Linked DNA regions of Pelodiscus sinensis. The protein of the gene in region 1 purifies or fractionates together with the protein of each later gene. This does not show direct contact. Links are inferred from orthologs where the notes say so. Each region holds a gene or a part of one and is shown in the gene's direction. Other genes may lie near its edges.

Region 1 (8,023 bases):
TTGGCATACATTTCCCTAGTACATGCCAACATTACTGTATTGGTGTTAAGTTTACCAATGATAGTGTGAATATGGGCTTGCAAAATAGAAACATTTCAGAATTAATGTGATCCAATACTTAAAGATGACAGTTTAAACATTTGTATTCCTTGGAAAACTAACTTGGATGCTGACTTCCATTTCCTTAGACAAACAAAAAAAAAGTTACCTATTAGAGGTCATATTGTCCTTTAATTAAAATTTGGAGACCTAATCTGCTTTTTTTTTTTTTTTTTTTTAATATACAGTGGTTGCACCTTTGATCTTTAGAGGTGCTTAGGCACCTCTGAATTGGGACTTTTTAAACCTCTGATTTTGAAAGCATTTATGCACAAGAGTAGCCTTATTGACGTCAATGGAACAATTTGAGTTTAAAGTTAAACATATATTTAAATGTCTTGCTGGAGCAGGACCTAAATTTCAAAAGCGAGTAATGGTTTTATTCACTGACACTGGATGCTTCAGTTTTCTTGGGTCTCAAGTTCAGCATTAAAAATCACTGATTTCTAAAAATTTAAGCCAAAAGCTATTAATTCCATATGAATTAGGCCAATACTGCAGCTTGAAAGTTGACCTGAGACCTTAGACTCATAGGCTGTGTCTACACTGCATCCCTTTTCCGGAAAAGGGATGCAGATGAGACAAATCGGAATTGCAAATGAAGCGGGGATTTACATCTCCCCCGCTCCATTTGCATGAACATGGCTGCTGTTTTTTTCCTGCTCGGGGCTTTGCTGGAAAAAAGCGTCAGTCTAGATGGGATCTTTTGGAAAATAAAGCCTTTTCCGAAAGGTCCCTTATTCCTGATTTTTAAGAGGAATAAGGGACCTTTTGGAAAAGACTTTATTTTCCGAAAGTTCCCCGTCTAGACTGGCGCTTTTTTCCGGCAAAGCCCCGAGCCGGAAAAAAGCGGCAGCCATGTTCATGCAAATGGAGTGGGGGAGATGTAAATCCCCGCTTCATTTGCAATTCCGACTTGTCTCATCTGCATCCCTTTTCCGGAAAAGGGGTGTAGTGTAGACACAGCCATACTGTCATGAATGGGCTTTGGAGCAGGCCCTATAAAGTCACTGAGGTCTTGCAGAGACTGTTGAATTGGACCTTTGATATAGGAATAAGCTTCTAGAAGTCTACACAATGTACACACATTATTTTGCATCTCTCACATTATTGGAGATGAGTGCTGAAATATTCAATGTAAAATGTTTCTATCTTGATCAGAATTAATCAAATATATAATGATAGTATTTGAGACTATTATAGTGAATTAGTCCTATTTTTAAATGTCAAAAATATAAACTTTGTCTGGTACAAGTTTCCAAGTATCTTCCTAATGTTTTATATACAGTATATTTTTAATTAAAAATAAACTTTGCCCATATAGGATTAATGTGCCATACATAATATATAAAGATACAGTACAACTGGTGTATTTCTCATGAAGATCTAAAACATCTGGGTATTAGTAGCACTATGGGTTTTAGTCCAATCTCCTTTTTTACAGAAATAGGCTTGTTTGTTTGAACAGGGAAATATGCTTTTTAGACAATGTCTCAGACTAGTACTGATCTCCCAGGAAAAACAAAGCAGGATTTTTAATTTTGTTTTTTGTTTGTTTCCATGTGGGACTAAGCAATAGCAGACCCATGTATTAAGTGAACATTCTTTTGGACACCTGTCAAAAACTACTACTGAAATTCTCTCTATGTTCACATGGGAGTGAAGGGAGACTAAAAGGTCTCAAATTGCAACACTTCTCAATGACTCCTCACGCCATTTCATCTTTATACCTTGTTAAAAATATCGCATCAAATAGATGAGTACAGATTTTTCAATTTGAGAAACTCAAAATTGAAAGGAGTTCTTACTTGCACGCTTGTTACATTGTGAAGTAGTACATTGTTATCTTCATGAATATGGGGCTTACATACATAATTCATATGTATCAAGAGACGAATATATCCCAAAAGCTGAAAAGGAGAGTTCTCTTAGTAATTCCCTAACCTTGGGAAATCTAAATTTGTGCGCTGGGCCTAAAGAAAAGATTTTATTTTTAACATGTACAAAAATTGTATCGTAACACTTTTTTATCATAGTGATTTATCTTTCTAAACTTCCTAGAAAAATTTTCTACACAAAAAAAATTTACTTTGAGACCTGTTGGAACATATTTTAGTTTAGAAACCTCTAATCTCTCTGGGAAATTGTCACTGTAACTTCCTACTAGAAAATGAGGATACAATAATTTGCTTGCATTTGACTTTTTAAAAGGGCATTTTATAGCATGGTATATGTTGGTGATGACTTAAACATTACAATTAGGATACATTTTAATAATGATTTGGATGTAGATGTTTCTTCTAACTTTTGTCTGTTACATTTGAACTATGAGCATGCAACTTCCAATCTGAATTTTGTTTCTTGAAAACAGGCAAATTATGTAGCAGCAGCTTTAGTAGATGAAGTACAAATGAATTTTTGTGATGTGCATTTTTTTGTAGGCATTAAAAGTTTATGATAAACCTTTGGTGAGAAGTCATTCATGCAAGCTGCTTCTCAGTTTAAATGTAATGCATTCAGCTATTTGATACATTATTGCAAAATGAATCTTGACACAAACCACAAGTTAAATTAACTGGTAAATAGAAAAGGATGAATGATGTATTAACATAAATGTAAAAATAAACACTGAATACAGGTATATTAAGCTATATAATTGTTAAAATAAGTGTGTGTTGTGTATAAACACACACACAGAGGCCTAGTTTAGTACAACCCCCCCCCCCCCCATCTTAAATTTTTTTGTAAAGGTTATATTTAGTTTAAAATAGTTTTTTTCCCCCCAGGGATTACCAACCAGTCCAAACCAGCTTTTCTTGAGGAAAAATAACTAAAAAAATGTAAATACAAAACAAGACTGTAACTGATTATTTAAATCAAGGTTTCCTGTTTCTGAGTTAAGAGCCCATCAACTGCATGGATTGATTTATTTCCCTTTTAAATGTTTTCATTCATATTGTAGGTTAGATGTCTCTGACCTAATGCTTCTAGAAATGTTTACTATAAAGCAGCATCCATCACTTGTAAAACCAGTTCACAACATGTCAGTTTTTAAAGAAATAACTCTGGTCCAAACTAACTGTTAGTTTAACACTATTGACTTACACAGCCTTCAGAATTCTAATAGTAATAAAACAGTTTACTGCAAACTCCACAGCCTGCTTGGCCTTGCATCTTTAACTATCCCACTTGGTTGTCATCTATCTGAGGAAAACAACAGCATGCACTAATGATTCTATTTGTTTTATCCAAAGATGTTAAAAACTGGGATGTGTTTTTAGGGGGTATGGGTGGAACTCATTACCAACAAAATATCACTGAGGACAAGTACTTAAGATTAAAAATGGATGATAAGAACATTCGTAGTTGTATAAAGTAGGATAAAAGTGTTAGGATATCTAATCTCCTCCTTTACAGAATAAGCTAACTACTAAGTTTAAGAAGAAACTCTTCCCCTGGGGCAAGTTATTATGTAATTTTCAACCGTGGTATTCCTTGCACTTTATTCTGAACATCTGGTATTGGCCATTTATGAGCACCAGACATGATATCAGAATAATGGAACAGAGGATGTGGCAATTCCTGTATTCCTTACTCGTTTGCATAGTAGAGATCCTTGGGTGCATCAGAGGTGCAAACTATTATTGAAATATGACTATCGTCTTCTTAGAAAGCATACAGTGATTTGTTTAAGTCTCCAGTGTGACCTTGCTTCTGAATGATGCCTAAACATTATTACATACATCTTTTAACACAAGATCAACATAGGGACTTTTATTGTGCATGTTGATGCTTCTAGTAAACAGTTGTTTTATTCAACTGGAAAATCCACCTCCACTGAAAGACAGGAATGTGATTTGTGTGTATTCTTCTGAGCTTCTCTTGAGAATCCCAAAAATCCACATATAAGGCTCAATACATTGAGTCGATAGGTGGCCTTGCAATTCCAAACCTAAAAAGTTCTTGAGGAAAACTGCAATGCTTGTTGTGGAGAGTTTTGTGATTAAAGTACATCAGTGTAGGATTCAGGAGATGAGAGCAAATCACTTTTCTTGTTCCTCATTTACAAAACGGAGATTACAGTAATTTGTTACCTCACCACAGTATTGTGAACATAAAATTGGAAATAACTGAAGTGCTGAGAGCACCACAGCATTAAAACTGGAAAAAATATCACGACTGTTGCATACTGACATTGTCGCTTTGCAGAATATAAACTTACCCTTAGAAGATAATGGGACTGCATCGGCACTTTCAAACCTTTGTTCTCTGCAGAAGGTCAAAGTTGGAGTTTGTTGGTTTGCCTAGTATTTGAGAGACTATTTTAGTTCTTAACCCTCTGAAATCCTAGCCGACTGCTAAGGGGGGGGGGGGGGAAAAGTGCAGACTACAACTCTGGCTCATTTGTTCTTCCCGACTTTACAGAGACGGTAACAGCGGCTTTCCCATGCAATACAGTGTCCAGCAAACAGTAACCAAGGGACTCGTCTACTGGAATAATATTGCCACACAATTATGCAGGGGCTACGTGCTGGCTTTGTACCAGGTGCGTTCCGACGGAGCCTGCGATGCTCTGCCCGGCACGATACCGCGCCCCCTGGTGGCTGAACAGCAGAAGTTTAACTTTCCGTGGCACATGCCGCACTCAACCCCCACCCAGGCCTGGCTGGGAGTGTGGGTGGGATTGGGGAGCTGATTTTAGAGGAGAGCCTGCTGCACCCCTCCCCCCACCCCAGGACGCTTCAGTGGGACATTTTCACTCAGGCAGCTTCCGGGCCCCTGAGCCGGGAGAAGCTGCTCGCACAGTGCGGGCGCGTTCCCCCCTCCCCCGGGCCGTTAAAAGAGACGGAACGATTCCGCAGCGCCTCTTGTTGTAGAGGGGGCAGGTTTCGTCGTCGCACAGCGTGTCCCTCGCGGGGAGCGTCCGCCAGCTGCCGTGTCCCTCCCGGCTCGCCTCTCTGCCGCGCTCGCCATGGACGCGTTAGCGGTAGAGCTGGGGACTCTGACCCCGGAGCAGGCGGCGGCTCCCGTGAACACGGTGGAGGTGAGCGAGGGGGTGAAGGCGCCGCCAGCCCGCAGAGGAGGGGCGGGCCCCGAGCAGCGGAGCCCCCGCGAGCTGTGCCCCCTGCTGCGCATGCGCGTCGCCCCATGGTGCGGCTGCAGGGGGCTTTCGGGGCTCTGGAGACCGAGTCCCCGAGTCAGCTGTGGCGCATGCGCGGGGCTCCGCCGGCTTTTCCACGCTGCCCAGTTCTCTCCCAAGGGAGGGAGCTCGCTCTTCTAGGCTGGCTGCTTTGCCAGGTGGCCCCCGGGGCTTGGGGACAACAGGCACCTGTATAAAGCCCCACATGTCGGGACTCGTCCCTATAAAATCAGGACATCTGGTCACCCAACTTCTCCTGCTAACCATCATCATAGAAACAAGCTGATATCTAACATCTTGTGCTAATTGAGGCCACCTCTTCTTCAAGCTGCAACTTTGCTGTGTGTGAAATTACCCCCGCTGAGATATCAGGCACCACCATAGCACGTGAGCAACATAAAAGTTGCTAGCCATAGCAGTGTTCCTCCCGGACTTTGTGGCATTTCTGGTACTTCTCCTCCTTCTTCAGGGTAAAAGTGCTGTCTGGGTTTGCATTTTTAGATTTTAATCCTCTGTTCCTTTTTTTGCTAGTGGCTTAGTGGACAGAAGGGAGGTGTCAGAAATGTAGCCTTTAAATCAAGGTGCACAATGCAAAGAGCTCAGCACTGTATTCCATTGCAAGGTTAACTTGTTATATGCTCCCTTTGAGCCTCATCTTGCAAGTAGGATAGTGATAGAAATGTAGCCGTGTTAGTCTGGGGGTAGTTGAAGCAAAATGCAGGACAATGTAGCACTTTAAAGACTAACAAGATGGTTTATTAGATGATGAGCTTTCGTGGGCCAGACCCACTTCCTATTTGATCTGAGGAAGTGGGTCTGGCCCACGAAAGCTCATCATCTAATAAACCATCTTGTTAGTCTTTAAAGTGCTACATTGTCCTGCATTTTGCTTGCAAGTAGGGTGAGCATCTTTTCAAAATGCAAAAAGAAGACGCATGCAAGAACCCTCCCTTTTGCGGGTCCTCCACTTCCACCAGAAACCCTCCTCCAGCCAGATTGGAAACTTGGAGCCAACTGTGCTAAGAGCTACCCAGGGATCTTTGGTCACTATGGGGAGCCCTAGACCTTCCATCTGCCCTGAATGGGCAGCCAGAGTCCATAAGAGTGGTGCCAAACCTGTGTCCCTGCCCCATGGGGTGTGCTGCCCAGGAACTGGTGGATACAAGGTCTGAGTCTCCAGGGCTCCACACAGGGACCTGGGCTCTGTGAGCAGCTCTTATTACTATCTAGCACCAGCTTCTGGCGGGGGATGGGGAGGAGGAGCAGGGGGCAAAACCTTGTGGAGAAAGAGAGCTTCAGCCCACCTGACTAAATAGGCTGACGCTATCCATAAGCCTCTGGTAGGTGCAGAATGGCACCATGGGAATCATTTAGCCTGGAACCAGGACTTGAAACGTACGTTGGTGGGACTGTGCCATCCAGTTAGGGAAGGTGGTTATCCTGCCTGGGGATGTTGGATGCTCAGTACTTCATGGAATTAAGCCTATATGTAGTAGGCACAAAAGGGTTGAGGCTGCCACTTGCACACTAGTTCCATCATGATTTTATTTGCTCTTGTAGCTGCCCTGAAACTAATTTTGTGCCAGTTTTACTTGTGACGTGCATGAGTTTATCATATAGGGTAAACCATGCAAAGTTATAACTCTTTATTGAATTCACCTTCCTCCACATTCATGTTTGTTCAAACTACTACAGTAAACTTCCAATAATCCGGCACCTTTAGGACCCAGGGGGTGCCGGATTATCAGATATGCCGGAGTATAGGAAGGGGGCCTATGAGGGTCTGGGTGGAGTTGGGGGGCTGTGCCCCTCGGCGCTGCGGGACCAACCCGGTAGCACCCCAGCTGCTCTGCCCCCGGCTTCCCCGAGTCAGCCACTGGTTAGTTTAAGCAGCGGCTGAATCGGGGAAGCTGGGGGCAGAGCAGCTCCAATGGTCCGGCTGCCCGGAGCACTTCCGAGTTCCAGATGATGCCGGACCATCAGGAGTGCCGGACCACTGGAGTTTTACTGTACATACCAAAATAGTTTGTCATAAATCCTGCTGTATCCCTTTTAAACATGGGAGAGGGGAGAGGGGAGGGAAACAGAACTTGATTTGAATTCAATTTTTCCTCCCTAGATTTGAAATGTAAACATTAAGTTGCTTCCCTTATTTTTTATGATTTTTGCTTTTCTCTTGTGGAATTGTGAATAACAAAGTTGTACTAAAAATCTTAAACAACGAATGACGGAATAAAAATTAACTAAATTTCATGTCTTTGAAAGCTAGTGAAACAATATATCTGGGACTCCACACTCCAGTATACATATCCATGACAATTCTTTTTTATTTATTTGAAGTTAATTTTAGAATTGAATTATTTAATGTTAAGAATCTTTGCTGCCTTTGAATCTTGAAATACTTGTAAAGTTAGACATACTGTCAACCCACAAGTCACATTTGTCTGAATATTTAGAACCTATTTTTTAATTGTAGTAACATCTGAGATTCCTGTACAGCTGAAACACGTTAAAAGAAAAAAGTCTTTTATGTTTTCACATTTGTACATTTGACAGCAATTTGTGTTTGGCTGTGTATATTAGTATTTGTAGGATTAGGACCATAATTCTCTCTCTCGCTGAAAAGACCCTGATAAACATCAATAGGAAAATAAAACATTTTTAAGGAGTGTCTCTTTTTTTCTTTTAAAAAATTAATCAGGACATAGTATTTAAATGGTGTTTTCTTATAAGCTTGTATTTTATTAAATTAGTCAGTTTAAAAACATGTAAACTGTGTTCCTT
Region 2 (6,972 bases), on another chromosome or scaffold:
CTGATTTAAAGGTTGCCTTAGCTTTTCAAAATTCAGATTTGGTGAAGGGTGCATCTTCCATGTGTAAGTCTTTGATCCAAACACAGATTTACTATGTTTCTTCAGCATAACTCTACTAGTGCAATCCACACTTCACATCCAATATCTTATTTTTTCAGTCCCATTTGACAAAGAGGCAGGGTGGGTAAAGAGCTCTATTGTGTTTGTGCAAGGAAGGAGAAACTTTGATCTCATAATTCTGGTGTGAGAGAAGGCAGGGCTTTTTATGCATCTTTATAATTGGTACCTGAGGCAAACCTTTTGCTCAAAGTATTACTACACTCAAAATCTGAGGAAATTTCATCCCAAACACGTTGTAATCCTAAAAGCACCTCAGGGTTACAGATCAGATACTGTGTGGTATTTCTTCCTAGGCTGAGTTTCTTATAGAAAAAAGACAACTTAGCTTTCATTACACAAGAAAGACTAGGACATTCAGGACAATGTGTTCTGTTAAAAACATCCTTGATCTCTAGCACTTTAAGAGATTGCTTAAGGAAAGGAGAGAAAAATTGGAATCTTACTATGCGCCCCAGGCCTGCTTGTGCCTTCCCTTAGTTCAAACACCTAGGAATGCAGGCAGGCAGAATGTAATTGGGCTCAGTCAGAGTCTCAGTTGTAGGGGTACATCTCTTCTGAAGGACAGTGTGATCTCAACACCATTCTGGAACACTGCATCAGTGTTGATTCAGTGTAAAGAGTGCCAGTTATTGAATCCTCAGTGACACTCTTGGCAAACATACAACCCAATCCTTTTTAGTTTGGGAGAAATGATGAAATCACAGCTCACATAAATATGGCAATGGTCCCATTCTGCTTTTAAAGTCCCTGGACACTGAGCAGAAACTGCTCCTAAAAGCCCAGCCTTCCCTGTGATGTGAACTGAAGCAAGCTGGACTGCTGATAAATAGCATAGTAGGTATAAAATGGTATTAGTAACCTGTTTAGTATAACGATCCTGAACAAATTGTACATGCCGAACTTCTTTTCTGCAGGGAGAACAAATTTGATCTGAGGTTTTGGCTGTCAATTTGGACTCTTCCAGCCATTTTTGAGAAGTGTAAATGCATGCTTCATTCACCTCCTTTATCATGGAAAAGTTAGTAATCCAGCCTGTCTCCATATACTCTTTTGCCTGTTTGTTAAGCAGTCCAGGGACCTGGTGAATCGCTCTGTATGACCAGTTAAAGCCTGCAAACCTGATTCTCCTCACACATAGGGATGTGAAAAATAAACCAACTGAATTCACTGTAAGTGAAAGGAGCTTGATTGAGATAAATGATTGTAAATAGCATCCAGGAATTCATTTGAGTGTATGAGACTGCTGCAGCAGTACTGAAAGCAAGTAGACATGGGTGTATCTTGGTTAACACTTCCTGAAAAGCATCAGCAGCCCAGACTAGGGACAGTATACCTTCTGAGGAAGAAAGAAGGCCCGAAAGCTGGGAGATAGGTTTGTGTGTAGGGCGGGGAGAAAGATCTGTGGCAGTGGAAAGGCTGGGCTCTAGAAGATAACAGATACTTTATGGCATTAAAAGGAATTTAAGAATTTATCAGGTGGACCAGGCAATAAGAGGGTTCTGGAGTTGCACCAGAATTCCACTTAAATGAACTGCCCAAATTAAAGACTTAAATCATGGTGGATTACAATTTAATGGGCTTGCTCCATGCAGACTTCTTTCCACCCTCTCTTTCCCTAAACAGACTTTCCGGCTACGTCTAGACTGGCATGATTTTCCCCAAATGCTTTTAACGGAAAAGTTTTCCGTTAAAAGCATTTGTGGAAAAGAGCATCTAGATTGGCACGGACGCTTTTCCGCTAAAGCACTTTTTGCAGAAAAGCGTCCGTGCCAATCTAGACGCGCTTTTCCACAAAAAAAGCCCCGATCGCCATTTTAGCGATCGGGGCTTTTTTGCGCAAAACAAATCTGAGCTGTCTACACTAGCCCTTTTGCGCAAAAGCTTTGCGCAAAAGGACTTTTGCCCAAACAGGAGCAGCATAGTATTTCCGCAAGAAGCACTGATTTCAGACAATAGGAAGTCAGTGTTCTTGCAGAAATTCAAGCGGCCAGTGTAGACAGCTGGCAAGTTTTTCCGCATAAGCAGCTACTTTTGTAGAAAAACTTGCCAGTCTAGACACAGTCTCCCTGCCCCCACATTGCCACTGATGGAGAAAGAAGGAAAGAAAGTGTGTTTTACATCAACTGGCTCTAGATCTTCCACACACTTATGTGGAGAGAGAGACTCCGCAGCAGACACCAACTCAAAGTACCAGTCTCCAGTATGCCCTTCTTCTTTCTCTTTTTCTGCATTAGGTTCACATTGTTGTAATGCTATGAACTTAGACAAAACAAAAAGCAGGACTATGTAGCACTTTAAAGACTAACAAGATGGTTTAATAGGTGATGAGCTTTCGTGGGCCAGACCCACTTTCTCAGATCAAATAGTGAAAGAAAATTGTCACAACCATATATACCAAAGGACACAATTAAAAAAATGAACACATATGAAAAGGACAAATCAAATTTCAGAACAGAAGGGGGATGGATGAAGGGAGGTAAATGTCTGTGAGCTAATGATATTAGAGGTGATAATTGGGGAAGCTATCTTTGTAATGGGGAAGATAATTAGCGTCTTTATTCACTTGAGTGTAAAGTGTCGAATTTAAGCATGAATAACAGTTCAGAGGATTCTCTTTCAAGTGAAGTCTTAAAATCAAGTCATTGAGACAATGTCCTTTCTGGTTGAAATGTCAATAAACTGTTTTTTCTTTGTGATCCTGTCTGATATCTGTTTTGTGGGCATTGATCCTTTGGTGAAGTGTCTGAGACGTTTGTCCAATGTACATAGCAGACGGACACTTTCGGCACATGATTGCATAAATTATATTTCTTAGACGGCTGTTTTACCACACAGCAGTGAGAAGAAAATGCCTAGAGGCTATAAGCTTTTCAAATGAACCAGGCTTTGATTTTTCAGCAAGAATTGTTCAAGAAAGAAAAAAATACATCAAACTAGAACATCCCGGGCAAGAGATACCAGAAATGTAGGCTTTTCCTGCCAAATTGCAGGCCTCCCTTATGGGGGGACAATTCACACTCATGGCATTGTGATGTTGCAAAGGCTTGATATTTGCATTGTAATGTTGCAAAACTTTGGGTTGATGCTGCACTGTGGCATTATATAACAGAAGCTTCATTGGGCTACTGTATGACAATTCTCTGATACACAGTGACATCACATTATTACACTGCCGTACTAGGATACTGAGTTTTGTAAAAGTTTGACACCCATTTTTATACTTAGTTGTTTCACATTGGAACAGTGACATGCCCACACTATTAGTGAGCAATGGGACATCCCTCCAGAACTTCAAGCAGCTCGGGAGCTCTGGAATGATTGCTCTAATTAATGCAATCTAAATGCAAAAATACTGATTAGCCAAACTTACCTGTTTGTACCTATTGCTAATATTATTTCTTACTATCTATCTAGATCAGTGATCTGAGCTTATTCATGTACTTGAGTTGCAAAATAGTTTATCTTCTGAAAAAAACTATTTTTAAACAAAAAAAATCTATAATGGAAGCAAGTGCATTCAAGCCCTTCATTTCTATGTGAAAGACTCTCCATAATTGAATATACCTCCAAAGCTTCTGACTATACAGAAGCTACAGTATTGGAAAATTATAAGGGAAAAAATACGAACCATCAAATGAATACACTATAGGAAGAGCTACATCCCATGTCGGTAGCGTGGCCGAGCGGTCTAAGGCGCTGGATTAAGGCTCCAGTCTCTTCGGGGGCGTGGGTTCGAATCCCACCGCTGCCAGAAAGCTTTTGTGCTTCTGTGTTTTGCAGGGGACCGCACAGCGCCGCCTGCTGCCACGCGGAGAACCTTGACCCCGCCTGGGAAGCATTGTGGGTAAGAGGAGGAACTAGTCTCCCCACGTGTCTGCTGCTGGAGTTACATCAACATGGCTGCTGCATAAGAGACCCCGGGACCCGCAAACCCATTGCAACGCGCCGAAGGGGGGGACCGGCTGCCCCTGGACCCCGCGCCACGAGGTAGGGGGGCTTGTGTGGTGCATGGCTCCGGCCCCTAGTGCTGCGCAGGGCGTTGCAGCTGCTGCGGGGCGCGTTCCTTTGCAAGGCCTGGGCTGGGGTGCGCGCTGCCTGCTGCAGTTCCTGGGCTTGAGCTCAAAACTCTCCCGGAGTCTGAACTCATTCGCCGGGAACTGCCTGGGGAGGGGGACCTGGGAATAGCTGGGCAGGGGTTGGGGATGCTCTGCATATCTCCCCCCCTCCCCCGGAATGATGCGGGGATGACTGCTGAAATTCACACGGTTTGCTTGTAATCAATCAATCAGTCTTCCTCTCTGCCTCTCGCCTGTGTATGTGGGGGGGCGTGCAGTGTCCCCTCCGTGCGATTGCTGCATGGTTACATCAGTCGTCTCAGCCTCACACCAAAGTCTAGTTATGGGCTAAGAATTGAAAAAAAGACTTGGCACCGTCTCTCTTTGCCTTTAGAGTATCCCAGGACTAGGAAAGAGTCAGATTTAACATGAGATTGTAGATAGGTGTGGAATCTCTTCTCCCTGAGGTGAAGTGGTTACATCGGCCATCTCTTTGGGGAGGCTTCTTCTCCTACCTCCCCCCAAGCAGTAAGCAGAGTTTGATAACTCCTGCCCCTCCAGCTGCTTCCCCTGTCCTGGAAGAGTGAGTAGTGAATGGCACAGGTACATGCACCTCTTTCTGGCCATCTGTGTTGTGGCTTGTTTAGGAAAAGCTTTACATCCTGATTCAAACTACCAAGTCATTCTTGCTCAGAGCAGGATTTTTGCAATCAATAGTTTAAACCTATGTTTTAAAAGCTGGCTAAATTGACATGTTTTGCTGTAATTCCCTATTTACTGTTATTGTGCTGGGAGAAAGTAGACTTACAAGCTGCTGGAAAAAATAATTAAAAACCTTCTTATAGCAGAGGGTGGCATCCAGTATGAAGGCCCAGCAGATACCAGGCACGATGTGTCATGCCTGTAATTTGGAGCTTTCACTGACTCACTGACCAGGTGACCTACCCTTTGCACTGGGTTTTCTTTGATTATGCTGTGGTTAGGGAGAAGCTATTTACTAATTTCATTCATCCAGCTACCCTGACACTGAAAGAACAAGCTTAACATTTAGTACACAAATGATATTTATGGAAATGTTAAGGTTCATGTACTGCCTGGCTGAAGTAACCATTACTGGAAATAGAAGCCTTGATGCACACAGTCCCAATGTTTTGGTTAATTAACAGAATGTGGTTTTGAAAAGGAGAAAGTGAAGGAGAGAACCTTGTAAATACACAGTTGTCTTCCTGTAGTTCTCAAACTAACATAGGCATTGTGCTGAACATCACCTGATCAGGATCTGGGCCAGTGTTTGAATGAGAGACCTCTAAGAAAAACCTGAGTGCTACAGGAAGTGACAATGCTAATTCAGAAGATGTCATTCTTCCCTTTTTAGTGGTTATGAACCAGAGCTTCTGCATATTAGTAGAACAGTGATTCCCATCTCTGTGTGTACCGTGACCCCATGTTGCACCAGAAAAATGTTTCAGGTCTCCCTGTACCTCAGTAATTTCAGGGGCCCCTCCATTCTAGCCATAAAGAGAAGCAGGTTAATTGTGAGCTGCTGGATCTATTTGTGCAAATCATGTTAAGAACCCATATCTGAGGGGGCACTATGGAACTGGAGATGCTAGCTTTCAGATGAGACACAAAACTGAGGTTCTGTCCACTTGTGGCCATCTTAAGATCCCATAGAATGAGAACAGATGTGTTACCTCATTGTTTTAGCTGAATTCAAACTTGGGGCAATCGAATTCTTGCTCATTAAATGCTACATGCAATTTAAATTAGATGGAATTTTTTTACTTGTTCTAAATTGAGCAGCTGTTAATCAGCTGCTTACCCCATCCCGCTTAACAGTGTTTTAGTTGTAGGCAAATTGAGATCTTTGCATGTATTACCCTACAGCTGTTTGGGGGGGGAGGGGATGTGTTAAAATGTAGTTAACTAATAACAGTGAGCTCTTTAGATGGACATACCTTCAGCAATCCAGAATCTACCTAAAAATAGTATTTGCACCATCTACTAAGTTGTATATTGTATCTTTTATTTCTCCCAATGTTTATCTTAATTTAATTCCTTTACTTTTTCCATTGTTCATGAACTCTTCTTCTGATTACTGTATTTCTGTTGAATAGGTCTGGCTCAGAGCTGTCTGTATGGCTTCCCATTTTAAATGGCTGAATCTAATTGCATTTAATTTTATTCATTGTTGTATCAGGTAATACAGGTAATATCAGGTAATGTTTATATGCTTACCATACTAATATTCTATTGAAAGCAATCCTCTAGACATTTCTTACCCTTAAAGGAACTGAAAATTGATGTATTCGTTATCTGATGTTTTCACTAGTAACTGAGTTACTCTATGAACTGGGACAAGCAGAAAGGAAATACTAATTTCTAATTCTGTAAAATATACACTCATGCTTACACCTTTGAAAATAATCTGGTTTCTAATAGTCTAGTGGTCTCCAACCTTTTTATACCCAAGATCACTTTTTAAATGACAGACCAAGCCAAGATCTACTGCCCCGCCCCTTCTTTGAAGCCCTGCCCTCTCTATTCTCCTCCTCTCCGTCAGTTGCTATCCCCAATCCTTATACTGCTGCTTTTTTTTTTTTTTTTTTTTTTATTATTCTGTAGGAAGAGGTTTTTCCAACATTTGGCCTGTCTACACTGGACCAAATGTCAGAAAAAGAACCCTTCTTTTGGAAGCCACCTTATTCCTTGTGGAAAGAGGAATATAGGGGTGACCAAAAGAGCCTGTTTGCTCTTCCACTAAAAAAGTGGAAGAACAAATGCAACCCCGGATGCA
Region 3 (6,943 bases), on another chromosome or scaffold:
TCACCCTAGAAATAAACAGGTCCGTGGACTTCTACTGGACAATTCAGAGATCTGAAATAAAATCCTAATGTAGCCCTTTGCAAACATCAGCCCATTGCCCCATGAAACCAATGCTTGCCACATTTTACAGATGGGGAAACTTGAGGCACAAAGCAAGGAAGTGACATGGCCAATGCTACAAAGCGAGTCAGAGCCCAAGTCAACTTTAGAACTAAAGAGTTATCCTCCCAGTTTCACGCTCCTTAAGGAAAGTTTACACAGGCTGATTCACAATGACAGGCTTTCAAAAGAGCATAAGAGAGTCTTACTTCAGAAATAGGCCCTGACCTGCCTTGTCATGACATTACTGGTTGTCTGGAGCATGATGGGATATCTCTTGCTCCCCCCAGAACTTGAGGAGCTGACTGAAAGAGGGGTGATCCTTAATTCAAGCAGGTTCCCATCAGGTTGTGTGCGACAGGAACAGCAGAAGATAAAGAGGTTGTCACCCCAATACTGGAGAGGTTGAAAAAGTGAAACAATTCATTGGTTTGGCAGGTATAAATCCTGAACATATTATTTATAAAGTCTGGGTAATAATAGCTCACATTTTTAGAGTCCATATCATCCTCCAGAATACCTGAATGCTGTGACACACCATCTCCCGCGGGGTGAAGACAGCAGTTGTTCAAGAGAACAACACAGTTCCCAACTACAGAGTGGGAGAGGACTAGCACAATGCTGCCCTGATCCCAGTTAGGGTTCTGGGTGCTCCTAATTATAACAATAAAAGCCAAGTCAAACCATTAATCTTATAAAGAGTCCAGGATGTCTAATGCCCATGCAGAGCAAAACTGAAGACTCTGACTTAGAAATAAAGAGGCCTGGGTAGGAATGCTTATAGAAATATACAACAGGGCAAAAGAAAAGAGGCAGTCAATGCTCACATGTTTATACTGTGAATATTTGAACAATGTATCTCATACATGGGCCCGGAGTTCTTGTTCCAAAAAACTCACTAATGGCATCAGGAAATCCTGAATCCCAGTTACGGAAGAGAATTAGTTGTGAGCAATTTAGGGCAGCATTGCTTTATAACAAAAGGACAGTTGTAACATAGGAGAGAAAACTGCTTAAGTCAGCAACAGAGGCGAGAGGCATAAAGAGGGAGTCGAACATGATTTGGGAGGGAGAAAGAGAAGAGAAAATACCAGAAAGCTGGGCTACTACCTTGAGGGGATGCAGGGTGAGTTTGCAAACAGAGAGCTAAAGGATCAATTTGCATTTCGGATGGACAAGCACCAATCTCAACAGGACTATATGCAGTTGCAGAGGGGTGAGCTACCTGTAATGGAAGCTAATGAAATTTTCTGGCTCATCATTCCTGTCATGTATGAATGATTTTTAAAGTAAAACAAAAATCTCCAAAGCATCCTCTTACCTCCTTTCATGGTGCAGAAGGGAAAAGCAATAGTACAGCACCATCTCATTTACCTAAATGTCAGTATGACCCTGAATCAGTCTGGATAACTAAAAGCTGTCCATCATCTATGAAATACCCAGGAATTGGAGGACAGCATCTGTTTCAGGATCCAGATTGATGAGGTTTTGCTACAGCAGCTTGCTCTTCATTAAGTTCTTTCATCCAAGAATCTTAAAGTGCATCACAAATATTAAAAGCCTTACAATCTTCCTACACCTGCTCTCTCAGGAGGTAGGTAGATAGTCTAATTTTACAGGTGGGGAAACTGAGGCACCCTTTCAACAGAGAATCTCCACACGTTCCCATATATCAGGAAAAAAGATATTATGTGTCTGATCTAATCTGGCCAAGCTACATTATCTGTTCCTTTCCTCAAATAGCCTCCTGCTTCGCCAGGACATCTCCACAGCCAGGAAGTCGCCAAGCTGTGGTGTGTGATGTAACTAGAACATCAGGAACATAAGGACAACCTCTGACTAACCATTTTGGATCTAAATGGAGACCACAGATTGGATTGGTCCACCCACCTCCTTCATCCTATTGCATAAGTGCCGGGGTTGCTTGTGACAGTCCATCTAATACACCACACATACCACCAACTCTAACGAGATACAGGACTATTTTACTAGGATACACATGTCCAGAGAGGGTACTCAAAAGGAAAACTCTTCTCCAACGGCATGAGGAGGAGCTCCGGTGCTTCAGCCTCTACTTATCCTTGGTCTGCGGAACTGAAATTTGCTCTTCTCACTGTAGGAATTGGGAGTCCTCCCTTGATGTTGTAGACCGAGCTAGATGACCTCTTGAGGCCCCTTCCAGTTCTACAATTCTATGCCACTGAGCCTCTCCCCTGAGGCTTTCCTGCAACATTAGAGAGAATGGGTGCCCTTGCTATCTAGCAGGCCTGGAGCCACTGTGAAGGGTGAGCTATGGTTTATCTCCACTCTCAGAAGGGTTTAACCATCCCTACGTTCCCAAAGGGGCTCTTAGAGCATCAGGAGAGAGGTGCCTTCTGCTTTCTGGGGTAAGTGCCTGATGTGCCTACAAGTGTCTCTTCCCCTTCTCTCCATAGGGAGGATTAGGATATACGCCCTCCCAGCTGGGGATGTAATAGCGTAGTCGATTAACCAATAAGCAAAACCTTATCGACTAATGCTATAGACTACACGCATTTCTCCCCCCCCCAGCCTCCCAGGTACATTTTTTAGCAGCCGGGGCCAGCAGCCTGGCTCAGTTCCAGCTCGCACTGGGTCCAGGAGCTCAGATCCCCCTCTCCCCCACCTGCTGGACAGGGTCTGCTGTCACCCCACGCTGCTGCCTCTGTATCAAAGGTTTGGGGCTACAAGGGAAGCTGGTTTTTAAACCAGCTCCCCTTGCGGACCAGCTCCCGCCTGGCAGTCCACATGGCTACCTCTGATACAGAGGTAGCAGCGCGGCGTGGCAGGGGACTCCTTGGGAGTTGGGCCAGAGCGCACTGGCTGCCGGCCCCACTCCCCGGGGCCATAGAATAGTCGAGTAACCGATAACAATTCATGAGGTCAATCGACTAGTCAATTAACCAAAATCTAACATCCCTACCCCACACCTTAGTGGCCAGGGAAGCTTGAGGTTTCACCTCTCGGCCTGAAGCGGGGCAGGGAGCCCTTTGCATTGTCACCTCTTTGGAGGACAACTGGGGGCTGAAGACCTCCCCTTCCAGTGCCCCCCTCCCCTTCCAGTGCCCCCCAGGGCAGGACAGAGAGGGGGGAAAGAAGCCTCAGGCCAGGGATTACCTGGGGGGGGGAGGAGTTGACCCCCCCCGGGACACTGGGGACTGGCCTCGCACTTCCTGCTTCCCTAGTGAAGGGCAGATGGGGGGGGGGGGTGCAGCCCCCTCCCCCTGCACGGTGACAGGGTTTCAGCCCCCCCTTCTCATGCGAGGGGCGGGGGCGGCGCCTCTCCCGCCTGGCCCCGCTGCCCCGAGGACAGGGGCTGAACGCTCCCCCGGCCTGCGCCCCTGGGGGGGGGATCGGGGTTGGCCCCCCTCCATGGGGGGTGCAGGGCCCCCCCCGCGGGGGACGAGGGGTCCGCGCCCCGCCCCTTACCGGCAGCTTGGGGCTGACCTCCCCCTTGCAGCTGTGGCAGAAGAAGCGATGCTGGGACACGGCGGCCGCTGCCGAGGCCTCCGCCATCTTCTCTCTCCCCCTCCCCCGGCTCCCTGCCTGCCGTCAGTCCTCCGCGGGCCGCGACTAGGGCCCGCACGGATAGAGCGGCGGGGGCCGCTCTAGCCGCCCGCTTCCGCCTACTCGCTGGTGCTCCGCTGGGCCGGGGTAGGAAGCAGTCAGGCCTCCGCCACGCCAGAGCAAGGAGAGAACTGCAGGGTAGAGCGGCGCCCCTCGCTTCTTCCGTGTCCCAAGTCCCAGCGAGACCAGGCGGAAGGGGGAGGATAGAGCGTCGCGCCGTAAACTCCGCCGATGCGCATGCGCAACCAACGAGCCTGGCGGGGGGCGGGTAGAGCGGCGCTGTAGCCCTGACGGCCTCCAGGGCGGATCGCAGCCATGGCAGGCGACCGGAAGTAACCCGCGTTGAGCCGGAAGTGGAAGGGGTTGCTATGGTTGCCGCAGGGGCCTAGGCGTCTCCCCTCCCCAATTTGAGATCCCAGGTGAGTGGGAGCCCTGAGGCAACGGGGGAGGGGGCTCTGCCTGGCCGGGGGGGGCAAGGAACTGTGGAGGCCGCTCCATGAAGGCAGCCGGAGCGGCCTGCCCCCCAGCCCCATGCCGGCTCATCCCTGTCACCGTCCAAGGTCGGGCAGCGGAGCTCGAGCATCCCGCCGCCGAGGGGGCGCCCTGTCCTGGCCATGGGGCCGCACCGCTGAGCCGCGAAGGGCTGTTTGCTGAGCTCTCGGCGCCCGCCCGCCGGTCCTTGGCTTCGCTAGACCCCCCCCCCCCGCCGCTTTCTCCTTCCCCCCCCCGTGCTACCCTCCCCCCAGGGGTTCGTTAGCTCCCCTAGTGCTGCCCACGGGGCAGGCCCCATTTTAAAATCAACGCCCAACGGCCCAGCAGGGTTGCCAGGTGGTTTCCACAGAAACCCTGGACGTGACGTCACAATGTCCATGACGTCACAATGCCCGCGGCCTCTCGTGTAGCAAAGACCGGACCCGTCCCTTGTCTCCGTTCTATTGTCTCCATTGGGTTCCCCCACAGAAGGCTCAAATCCTGGACTGTCCAGTTCAACACCCGGCCACCCCACTGGCGAGCCCGATTCCCTGCGGAACTGGCGCAGCCCTAGGGAAGCGTGTGACACGTTTCCCCCACTCTGCCCTGCCGGGATCATCTCGGGGGATAGTCTGTGTTTCGTCACCGTGGCTCATTCGGTGCTTGCTGGGGGTGCTTGCGTGCCTGCCCGGTTTGACTTAAAGCGGACTGGCTGTGAAGGCATTTTTTATTTGAGCTGAGCCTCGAACCCACTGCATTCCTCTCAAGCCTGAATTGGGAACAACTTTTGGTCTCTGCTGATAGACCAAATCAAACAGGCGACTTGAGAGGTGAAAATCTTTGCGTCCCACCAGCACATTTCCTGCACTCTCCTGTCTCACCTGATAAGAATTTTAATAAATGTTTTTCCCCCATATCCTTCTAGTATTTTAATTTGACGGCAAGATGACTCAAGCAGAAATTAAACTCTGTTCCCTCCTGCTGCAAGAACATTTTGGCGAGATCGTGGAAAAGATAGGGACTCACCTTATCAAAACAGGCAGCCAGCCACTGAGAGTGATTGCCAAGGACACAGGGATGTTGCTAGATCAGGTATGTCTAGAATCCGCTAGGAGTTATCCTCCCTTGGATCACAGATGCTAGATAAATGCTACTCAGCAGAGCTGACTGAACTATTATTTGCTCATTAAAACTTGTCTGTCACCATTTCTAGGCCTCCTGAAGGATTCTGTTATTCCAAATGCGTTTGCAAAAGGCAAATTAGAATTTGAACATGTCTCCTTAAAACCAAATCTGTTTCTTTAACAGTACCAATTGCAATCCATGGGAGTTTTGTCATTGGCTTTAACAGATTGGTTCTGAGCTCTTACCTCTCCCCAGAAGGGAAGGCTGGTGGTCTAATTTAGTGTAACAGAGTGTGGAGAGGACAAGAGATGAAGTTAGTGCAGCTTGTAAAGAATAAGGAAGTGAAGCTTACTTGCTTAAAGTTGCACTGTGAGTCAGGACTACAGTTGAGATTCCCAGGCCCTGCCTTGATTAGGACAAGATCTCCCAGGTTTCTTCTTCTCTTAATTCTGTTAGCCCCTGAGGAATGTCAAACATCACCCTGCTCTCTTCCAAATAAAGATGATCTGGTGAATGCTCAGTAGCTTTATCTTTCATTGTTAATGATCAGTGCTAATTGGGAAATTAATGGCCCTTCCTGAGACTATGGATGGAGCTAAAGCACCTAAATATAGGAGGGGAGGGCATTCCCTTCCTGATCCTTGAGGTGATCAGACCTCAAGCATGAGGGTTGATTTTCCCCCAAGTACGGCTCTCATTCCTTTCTCTGGCATGTGCAGGTTAAGAAAGCTCTCTGTGTCCTCATTCAACATAACCTGGTGACCTACCAGCTGCAGAAGCGAGGCATTGTGGAGTACGAAGCTCTGTGCAGTCGGGTGCTGAGGATCCTGCGGTATCCACGTTACATCTATACTGCCAAGACCCTCTACAGCGACATGGGTGAATTGATTGTGGAGGAGCTGCTGCTGAACGGCAAAATGACCATGAGCGCTGTGGTGCAGAAGGTTGCAGACAGGCTGACGGAAACTATGGAGGGTGAGCCAGTGGGGTGTGGAGACAGCTTGAAAAGGGAGCGGAAATCTTTTGCTGCAGTGCCTTATCTATCTGGCAAGTTTTGAGGCTGCTGAGCTGATGCTTCATGCTACCACAGTGTTCAAGTTCTGTACACAACGAAAGGGGATTGGATGGCTTCCAGCTGGATGGAGGGCCTGGTCTAAAGTCCACTGAAGTAAATGGGAATCTTTCCATTGACTTCAGGGGGCTTTAGGTCAGGTCCGGATGGAGCATCTTCAAGAGGCAGTACACAACACTGATGCTTCCAAGCATTTTCAGGAGAGATCAGTATTGTGATCCACATGCTATAGCATGTGGAAACTGAGGCACGAGGCGAAGCAGGCACTGCCAAAGCTCAAACAATGAATCACTGTCAAAGCTGGGAACAGAATTAGCTCCCAGGCCTGTGCTCAGACCATTTGACTATGATTTATTTTGCTGTGTGTTTTACTCTCTTTTTCTCTCAGTAGACATGTGTAGAGACAGCATGGTAGAGAGACCTGGGAGTCCATTCTCTGCTCTACCACTGGCTCACTGTATGACCTAGAGAGACCCCCTTGCTATGCCTCAGCTTCCCCACCTGTACAGTGGGCATAAAAACATTTAACCAAATGACAAGTGCTATACAGATTCCAGAGTGTAAACACTGGTTATCAGGCTAACCCTGTGC
Region 4 (6,931 bases), on another chromosome or scaffold:
TTTGCAAGGTTGGCTCAGGGATCCACCTGCCCAATCTTGGCAAGCAAAAGCTCAGAGCTCACATCTAACTCCAATGGCTGGAACCAGACCCAGAAGAGCCCCACTCACAGTATGAACAGCAGCCGGCTGACTTTACAGCAGTGTAACACGTTGAGGGTTTAACATGGCCCCTCCTACCTGCGATGCAGCAGGCACACGGATTTCTTCTGCTCAGATAAGCCCAATGAGCTGAGCAGAAAGGCTTTGGTTTTGGTTTCTGGATGGGAGGATGGTGGCAGGTGGTGAGTGACCCCGGGTGGAGTGGAGGTTACACGCAGGAGGGACGCCCCGTGCAAAATTTGAGGCTGCAGGTGCCACGGGGGGCGGGGCAGGGCAGGTGCCTGAGCCATTGTGCACATGGGGGTGGGGGCACTGCATGCCGGCGGGAGAGGGGTGGGAGGGGGGGAAAAAGAGGGTCGGTTATGTAACCTTGCGGGCAGGAGGGGGCAAGTCCTGGGAGGTTACATGTAGGAGGGGCGCCCCAGCTCCTGCCCAGGGCCACAGGTGCTGTGGGGGGCAGGGCAGGACCCCAATTGGGTCCAAAAGTACCTTAAAACCTTCTCCTGGATGAAAGGTTATCCCATGTAAAGTTTGGTTGCGGTAGCTCTTATAGTGTCCAAGTTATTAGCGCATAAACATTCTCCTTTACATATTAGATAGGGTGGTACTTGGGACAGATGTGATGGAAGAAAATCAGATTCTCTCTCTATGTGAGGCACAGGCTGGCAGTTAGGGAAGTGGCGGGAGAAGGGAGAGGAGGAGTGGGGCACTATCTGTGTGGAGCACAGATGAAATTTAAAGAAGTGGTGGGTGAGGGGTGGGAAGGAGCAGGGGGCTCTCCGGGTGGGACACAGGCAGGTAGTTAGGGAGGTGGCAGGGAAGGGAAGGGGAAATGGCAGCATGCAAAAGAGCCAACCCTGCTCCCTCTTCTCTCTCTCCGCCCCCGCCATGTCTGGCCCGGCACTGGTTTTAACCACCAGCGCCCTTTTCCACGCCGACATCCCTGCTGTCCCTGGGTCCACTTGCCCGCCGGTTTGCACGCCAGCTGAGGCACGCCTGCACCATGAGGGCGGTCCTCCGCATGCTGCCTCTGTGCTAGTGCCATAGGCCCAGAACAGCAGCAGCCTGAGAGCGCATTGCCGCCAGCGGAGCTAGTGTGGGGGGAAGTGGAGCCCCCGTCACACCCTCCCACAGTACCTTAAAACCTTCTCCCGAAGGAAAGGTTATCCTATGCAAAGTTTGGTTGCAGTAGCTCTTAGTGTCCAAGTTATTAGAGCACAAACATACAAACATTCTCCTTTATATATTAGATTAAAAGTTATTTCACATGGGCAAATAATTTTTCACAACAAATTGTGTTATATTAAAACAAGACCTGAAAAAAAATTATAAAATATACCTAAAACTTAATCTATAATAAACAGTTATGACTTTCTGATAGAAGTACATTTTCTTTGGTGGCCCTGAGAGCTATCCGTTTTCGTTTGTGCGGCCCTCAGTAGGCTTCGAGTTTGACATGCCTGTTCTAAAGCATCTGACAATCCAATTTTGTCTCCGGAGCTATCTATTGACCATCCCTGCTGTACATGATGGAAGAATGCATCACCACATCTTCTCCAAACTTCTTTATATCCATAGTCCATTCATCTGCAGTAAAAAGACTTCCTGTAACAGAAGATGCAAGACAGGGAGGTGATGCCATTCCTGGCAGTGCTATCAGCTCCTGATTTGCCTGCTTCCCATGGGAGAGGAAAAACACTTAGTGTGTGTTTTTATCTGGATTGCTAGAGCAAAGCATTATCACTTTCTCCCTCTAATCCCCAGATATCTTGCAGGAAAGTCCGAATTGTAACAGATGTGGAAGAATAATTTTTGCCTTATACAGTTGATAAATATCTTCCTTTAGTGAATCTCAGTATCAGATAATCTCTGATAATCAGAATCAAAAGCAGTAGCGTGGGGTGTCAGGTGGTAGCTGGTTCATGAGGGGAGCCAGTTTAGACGCCAGCTCCCCTTGCAGGCCAACTTACCTATCGCCCTGCACTGCTACCTCTGAGACACAGGCAGTAACGCAGGGTGGCAGCAGCCTCTGCCCAGGGTGAGGTCTGAGCTCCCAGATCTAGCGGGAGCTGAAACTGAGCTGGGCTGCATGCCCGCTTGGCTCCTAATACACTTAAAATGCAGAGCCGCAGCAGGGGTAGATCTTGGACTTGGCGCAAGCCGGTACTAAGCCAGGCTGCAGACCAGCCTGCTAAAAAATTTACTGGCCCAGTGTGTGCATGTGTGTGAGGGCGGAGATTTGTAGTCCATTAGTCCATAGCATTAACCAATAAACTTTTGCTTATCAGTTCATTAACTACACTGTTACATCCCTAATGTAAACTACCACCAAAAGCGACGAGGGGTCCTGTGGCACCTTATAGTCATAAATTAACAGATTTATTGGAGCATAAGCTTTCATGGGAGAAAGCTTATGCGGCCAATAAATCTGTTAATTTATACGATGCTACAGGACTCCTCATTGCTTTTGCATATTCAGACTAACCCAGCTACCCCCCTGATACTTACCACCAAAATCAAAATTCTTTCAGACTTATAGTGTTAGTAGTATTAAGTAAGATCTTTGGACAGGCATAGAAAGCCAACAAACCCAAAGCAACAACAACAAAAAATTCAAGCCTTTTAGCTGAATCCTGAAATACACTGATGTACATGCACTATAAACATACATCCTGATCACTTATTATAAATTAACTGATTACTATATGTGGTACAAACATAGATCACAAATGTGGAATGTAGCATAACAGATCCAGTGAGGATACCCCTTTACATAAAAATTGTTTTAGATTCAAGTACAATATACTAACACTATAAAAGTGATATATATATATTTAGATACAAATAAACATGACGCAGTGTATATAAACCGATGTTCAGTCTAGAAGCATTTTGCACAACCCAAAGTTAAAGATGCAGATCTGAAACATGCACATCTATGGACACGCACTGATTAGACACAAACGCAGCATATGCACTCCTTCCCACAGACGGTAAGGCAGACATACCCCGATGTACTGTCACACCCAGTACCCCCCTCAAGTACTGTACAGATCCAACTCGCAGTGATGCACCTACATACTGTTGTCTGACAGAGACGCACAACTCACCCCAGCCCCACTTGACTTACACACAGACACGTAGCAGCTAGTGACCTAAGTGTAAGCACAGGCACGTATACACATGCCCAACTCACCCGCCTTATATGCCTCCCCACCCCCAATAGGGCAGGTGCCCTATGGAGTGTCTGTGCAGCTTTGCCCTCCCGCCATGAACATACCCCGCTCCCCACCCCAGCGCTGACCGCCCGCCCCTTACCCTCCTGCAGGACGTGGGTGGGCTGCACGGGCTGCACTCGGAACTGCCGGGCGCTCCAGCCGGGGCTGGGCGGCCGCACCACCTCGCTGTCCGACAGCCAGGTGACGGTCTCGTAGTTGTCCCCGCGCAGCAGCGCGCCCGCCTCGGCGCTGTGCACCGCCACCTCGTCGAACTGGTGCAGCCCGCCCGCGTGGTCGAAGTGCACATGGGTGGCCACGGCCAGCAGCGGCCTCCTGCCCCCTCCCGCCGCTGCCTCCTCCGCCTCCCCGGGCCCGGCGCCCGGCCCCAGCAGCCCGGCCGAGTGCAGGTAGTCGGGCAGGCTGCGTAGCCCCAGGCCGGTGTCGATCACTACGTCGCGCTGCGAACCCCGCACCAGCCAGATGTTGGCTCGGTTGCCGGACTCGTAGAACCGCTCCTGGATCCAGTAGATGCCGCCGCCCAGGGGCTTATGCGCGTACCACTCCAGCGCCGACATGCCGGGCCGCTGCGAGCCCAGCACTGCGAAGCCACCGCCCCCAGGAGGAGCCTGCGCGGCGCCCCACCCCACTGCGGGCTGCGGCAGCGTCGCCGGGGGTGGAGCTGGCTGACACGTGTTCCCATCTTTTAAAATTGTGCCTGGAACTGAGCGCCCAGCCCCACAGAACTAAATTCCCACAGTCTCAGTTTTAAAACGCCTTCATGTTTGATTAATAGCTAAAAATGGAGTCTGGAGTCCCATTTGATTTCTAGACAGACCCACATTTTTTCCAAGCTGGAGATCATCATTGGTATGACACTTGCAATGTAAAAATACCTTTTCTCAGTCTTTGACTTTTTTCCATCTTACTTTTGGCTTTATTTTTTGTGATGCAACTAGAATCTAATAATATTTTCAGTAATTCCAAATGGCTGGGTCAGGAAAAGGAAGAGGACGTGCTGCATTTACTTTCAACATCGAGGCTATTGGCTTTTCCAAAGGTGAAACGCTACCTGAAGTAGCATTCAAGCCCCCTCCGTTGTTTCCTGTAAGTAAAGAGAACAAGCTTCATTTTAAGAACAAGTTGCATGTCTGAACAAAGTGTTTCATGTTCATATTTAGGTAATGAACCGTTAAATGGATGGAAAAAATCTAATAAATCAGTTTTGAAAGTAGCTAATCCACGTCTCTGTGTGTTCCCAGAGATAGAAATCTCAACAGCAGAGAGAGACCGTTTATAAGAATTGAGGTGTTTACACTGTGTTGTCTTGGAGCTGCACTGTGAGAGCTTTACAGATCCCATGTTCTCTAGTTTAGACAAGGCCACAGTGGGATGATTTTTTTTTTGAGACCTGTTAAATTGTATTGCTGTCCAGGAGATAACTAACATGATTAAAATATTGGTCAGATTAATTATGTTTAGCATAGATTGAACCATATTTTGGGAAGTGGTGTTGTTGAAATTGCTCTCACTGAAGTTAGCAGCAGTAAGGGCTTCAGAGCAAGTCAGCTAGCCTGAGACATTTGAAAGGGGGGGCGGGTGGAGTGAATGGTGATGTGCACCTTCACTGACCTAAAGTCAATTGAATTAGAATGTTATGTTTTTATGTTAAAAATGTTTTAGATATTTCTTGTTTTATTCCTTTCCTAATAGAGGTTTTCATGATGGATATATTAAAAAGAAAGAAATCCTTTTTACAATTTAATTGAAAAATATGCATTATAAAGTTCTGAACATATTGTCAGAATGCAGTGAAACATATTTGCAAACTAGTATAATACATAATTGAACTCCTCCATAAGTAGAGGCATTTTTTCTGTAGTTTTATGTGTTGCTGTATGTGATGGATATTAATGCAATTATGTACCTTAATTTACACAGTCAACAGGTTTTAAGCCAGTGCCTCTGAAAATGGGAGAAGAAGAAGATTATATGTTGGCCTTGAAGCAAGAATTTAGAGGAAGTATGAAAAATACGCCTTATTTTATGCCAAGCAAAGATGAAAAACAAGGTTTGTTCTGCATAAATGTAAATCAGCAAAATGTATTTGTGTATGGAAACTGTAATAATTAGTCTTTATGTTCAAGCTGTAGTACTGACACTAAATAGGGACAATGACAACTTGAAAGTTACATTTTACTAAGAAACTTCTGCAGCTAGGAGAGTTACAAGTAATGTCTAAATTTGCTGTAACTAAAAAATAAACACCAGTCTCGGAGTGTAGCTATGTTAGGCTACGTCTACACTGGCCCCATAAAACGGAATAGTCATGCAAAGCAGGTAAGTCAGAATAGGGAAATCCGCGGGGGATTTAAATATCCCCCGCGGGATTTAAATAAACATGTCCGCCGCTTTTTTTCTGGCTTGGGGAAAAGCCGGAAAAAAGTGTCTAGACTGGCGCGATCCTCCGGAATAAGGAGGAAATAAGAGATCCTCCGGAAAAGGGCTTTATTCCGGAGGATCTCTTATTTCCTCCTTATTCCGGAGGATCGCGCCAGTCTAGACACTTTTTTCCGGCTTTTCCCCAAGCCAGAAAAAAAGCGGCGGACATGTTTATTTAAATCCCGCGGGGGATATTTAAATCCCCCGCAGATTTCCCTATTCTGACTTACCTGCTTTGCATGACTTTTCCGGAATTAGGGGCCAGTCTAGACGTAGCCTTTAGTGTATAACTTTAAAAACTAGTAGGCCTGTGGCACCTTAGAGACTAGGGTTAAAATTAGATTAATCAACTAATTGAATAATCGATGGAATTTCCATCAACTATTTGATTAGTCGATAAGGGCTCTTCTGCTTTGAAATGTAGCAAGAGCCCACCCAGCTATTGATATATTTCAAGGGTGTAAGTGCCATGTGTGTTCCACATTTGAAATGCACAAGAGCCCCAGCAGGGACTCTTGTACATTTCAAGGTTGAAATGAAGGGAGCCTGGGGCCAGCAGGGGATGCTGATTCCCTGGCTGGTCCCTGGCTCCATAGGGTGCTTCTGCTTTGAAATGTACAAGAGCCTCAGCAGGGCTCTTACACATTTCCAAGGTGGACCAATGCCACTGCACCCCTGCCTCCTTCCACAGAGCTGGAGCTGGGAAGAACTGGCTTTTATTGTATGTCGGCTATTCGATAAGCTTTTGCTTACATCCCTATTAGAGACTAACAAATATACATAGACAGTATCATGAGCTTTCACGGGCAAAACCCACTTCATCAGATGAGCTGGAGAATTTATAACAGAAGAAGAAGAGGAGAAAAAATAGATACCTGTCAAGTGTAGGATGGGTGCTGATGAGGCTAATTAAGTGGGCTGGATGTGTCCTATACCTAGCTTTTGATGTAAAAATGAGGTGTTAAATGCAGGCAGGGCTGGCTTTATAATGCGACATTTAGATAATGTCATTGTTCAATCCCCGAAAAACATTGTCAAATATGCAGATGAATGTGGATTCCACACACTCTCTCTGGAATTGGCTAGTGAAATTCCTTTATAGAACATTGGCTACTTTTAAATTCATTAATGAGTGCCCAGGCAGGTTAAAATGTTCCCCTACAGGTTTTTGCATG

Evidence for each region. Proteins that work in one complex are often made in the same cells at the same time.
Region 2: the proteins of POLR3B (region 1) and POLR3E purify together in Homo sapiens (affinity purification with mass spectrometry; 8 studies listed by BioGRID and IntAct, counting the BioPlex papers as one, with this or other methods). This does not show direct contact. The link is inferred for Pelodiscus sinensis from reciprocal best matches to the Homo sapiens genes POLR3B and POLR3E.
Region 3: the proteins of POLR3B (region 1) and POLR3C fractionate together in Homo sapiens (co-fractionation; 4 studies listed by BioGRID and IntAct, with this or other methods). This does not show direct contact. The link is inferred for Pelodiscus sinensis from reciprocal best matches to the Homo sapiens genes POLR3B and POLR3C.
Region 4: the proteins of POLR3B (region 1) and POLR3G fractionate together in Homo sapiens (co-fractionation; 4 studies listed by BioGRID and IntAct, with this or other methods). This does not show direct contact. The link is inferred for Pelodiscus sinensis from reciprocal best matches to the Homo sapiens genes POLR3B and POLR3G.

What each region holds. Positions count from the first base shown.
Region 1 is NC_134711.1:96,922,691-96,930,713, reverse strand, and holds the start of POLR3B (DNA-directed RNA polymerase III subunit RPC2), read left to right. Parts: upstream 1-5,011; 5' UTR 5,012-5,071; coding exon 5,072-5,143; exon of another isoform or gene 5,144-5,144; intron 5,145-8,023. UniProt on the Homo sapiens protein: Catalytic core component of RNA polymerase III (Pol III), a DNA-dependent RNA polymerase which synthesizes small non-coding RNAs using the four ribonucleoside triphosphates as substrates.
Region 2 is NC_134726.1:22,731,330-22,738,301, forward strand, and holds the start of POLR3E (DNA-directed RNA polymerase III subunit RPC5), read left to right. Parts: upstream 1-3,950; 5' UTR 3,951-4,107; intron 4,108-6,292; 5' UTR 6,293-6,375; exon of another isoform or gene 6,376-6,394; intron 6,395-6,972. UniProt on the Homo sapiens protein: DNA-dependent RNA polymerase catalyzes the transcription of DNA into RNA using the four ribonucleoside triphosphates as substrates.
Region 3 is NC_134734.1:19,515,881-19,522,823, reverse strand, and holds the start of POLR3C (DNA-directed RNA polymerase III subunit RPC3), read left to right. Parts: upstream 1-3,921; 5' UTR 3,922-4,103; intron 4,104-4,455; exon of another isoform or gene 4,456-4,985; intron 4,986-5,080; 5' UTR 5,081-5,100; coding exon 5,101-5,247; intron 5,248-5,999; coding exon 6,000-6,255; intron 6,256-6,943. Other genes in the region: E3 ubiquitin-protein ligase RNF115, read right to left, coding at 3,547-3,633. UniProt on the Homo sapiens protein: DNA-dependent RNA polymerase catalyzes the transcription of DNA into RNA using the four ribonucleoside triphosphates as substrates.
Region 4 is NC_134716.1:74,580,643-74,587,573, reverse strand, and holds the start of POLR3G (DNA-directed RNA polymerase III subunit RPC7), read left to right. Parts: upstream 1-3,909; 5' UTR 3,910-4,200; exon of another isoform or gene 4,201-4,292; 5' UTR 4,293-4,301; coding exon 4,302-4,421; intron 4,422-5,255; coding exon 5,256-5,385; intron 5,386-6,931. Other genes in the region: acyl-coenzyme A thioesterase MBLAC2, read right to left, coding at 3,418-3,892. UniProt on the Homo sapiens protein: DNA-dependent RNA polymerase catalyzes the transcription of DNA into RNA using the four ribonucleoside triphosphates as substrates.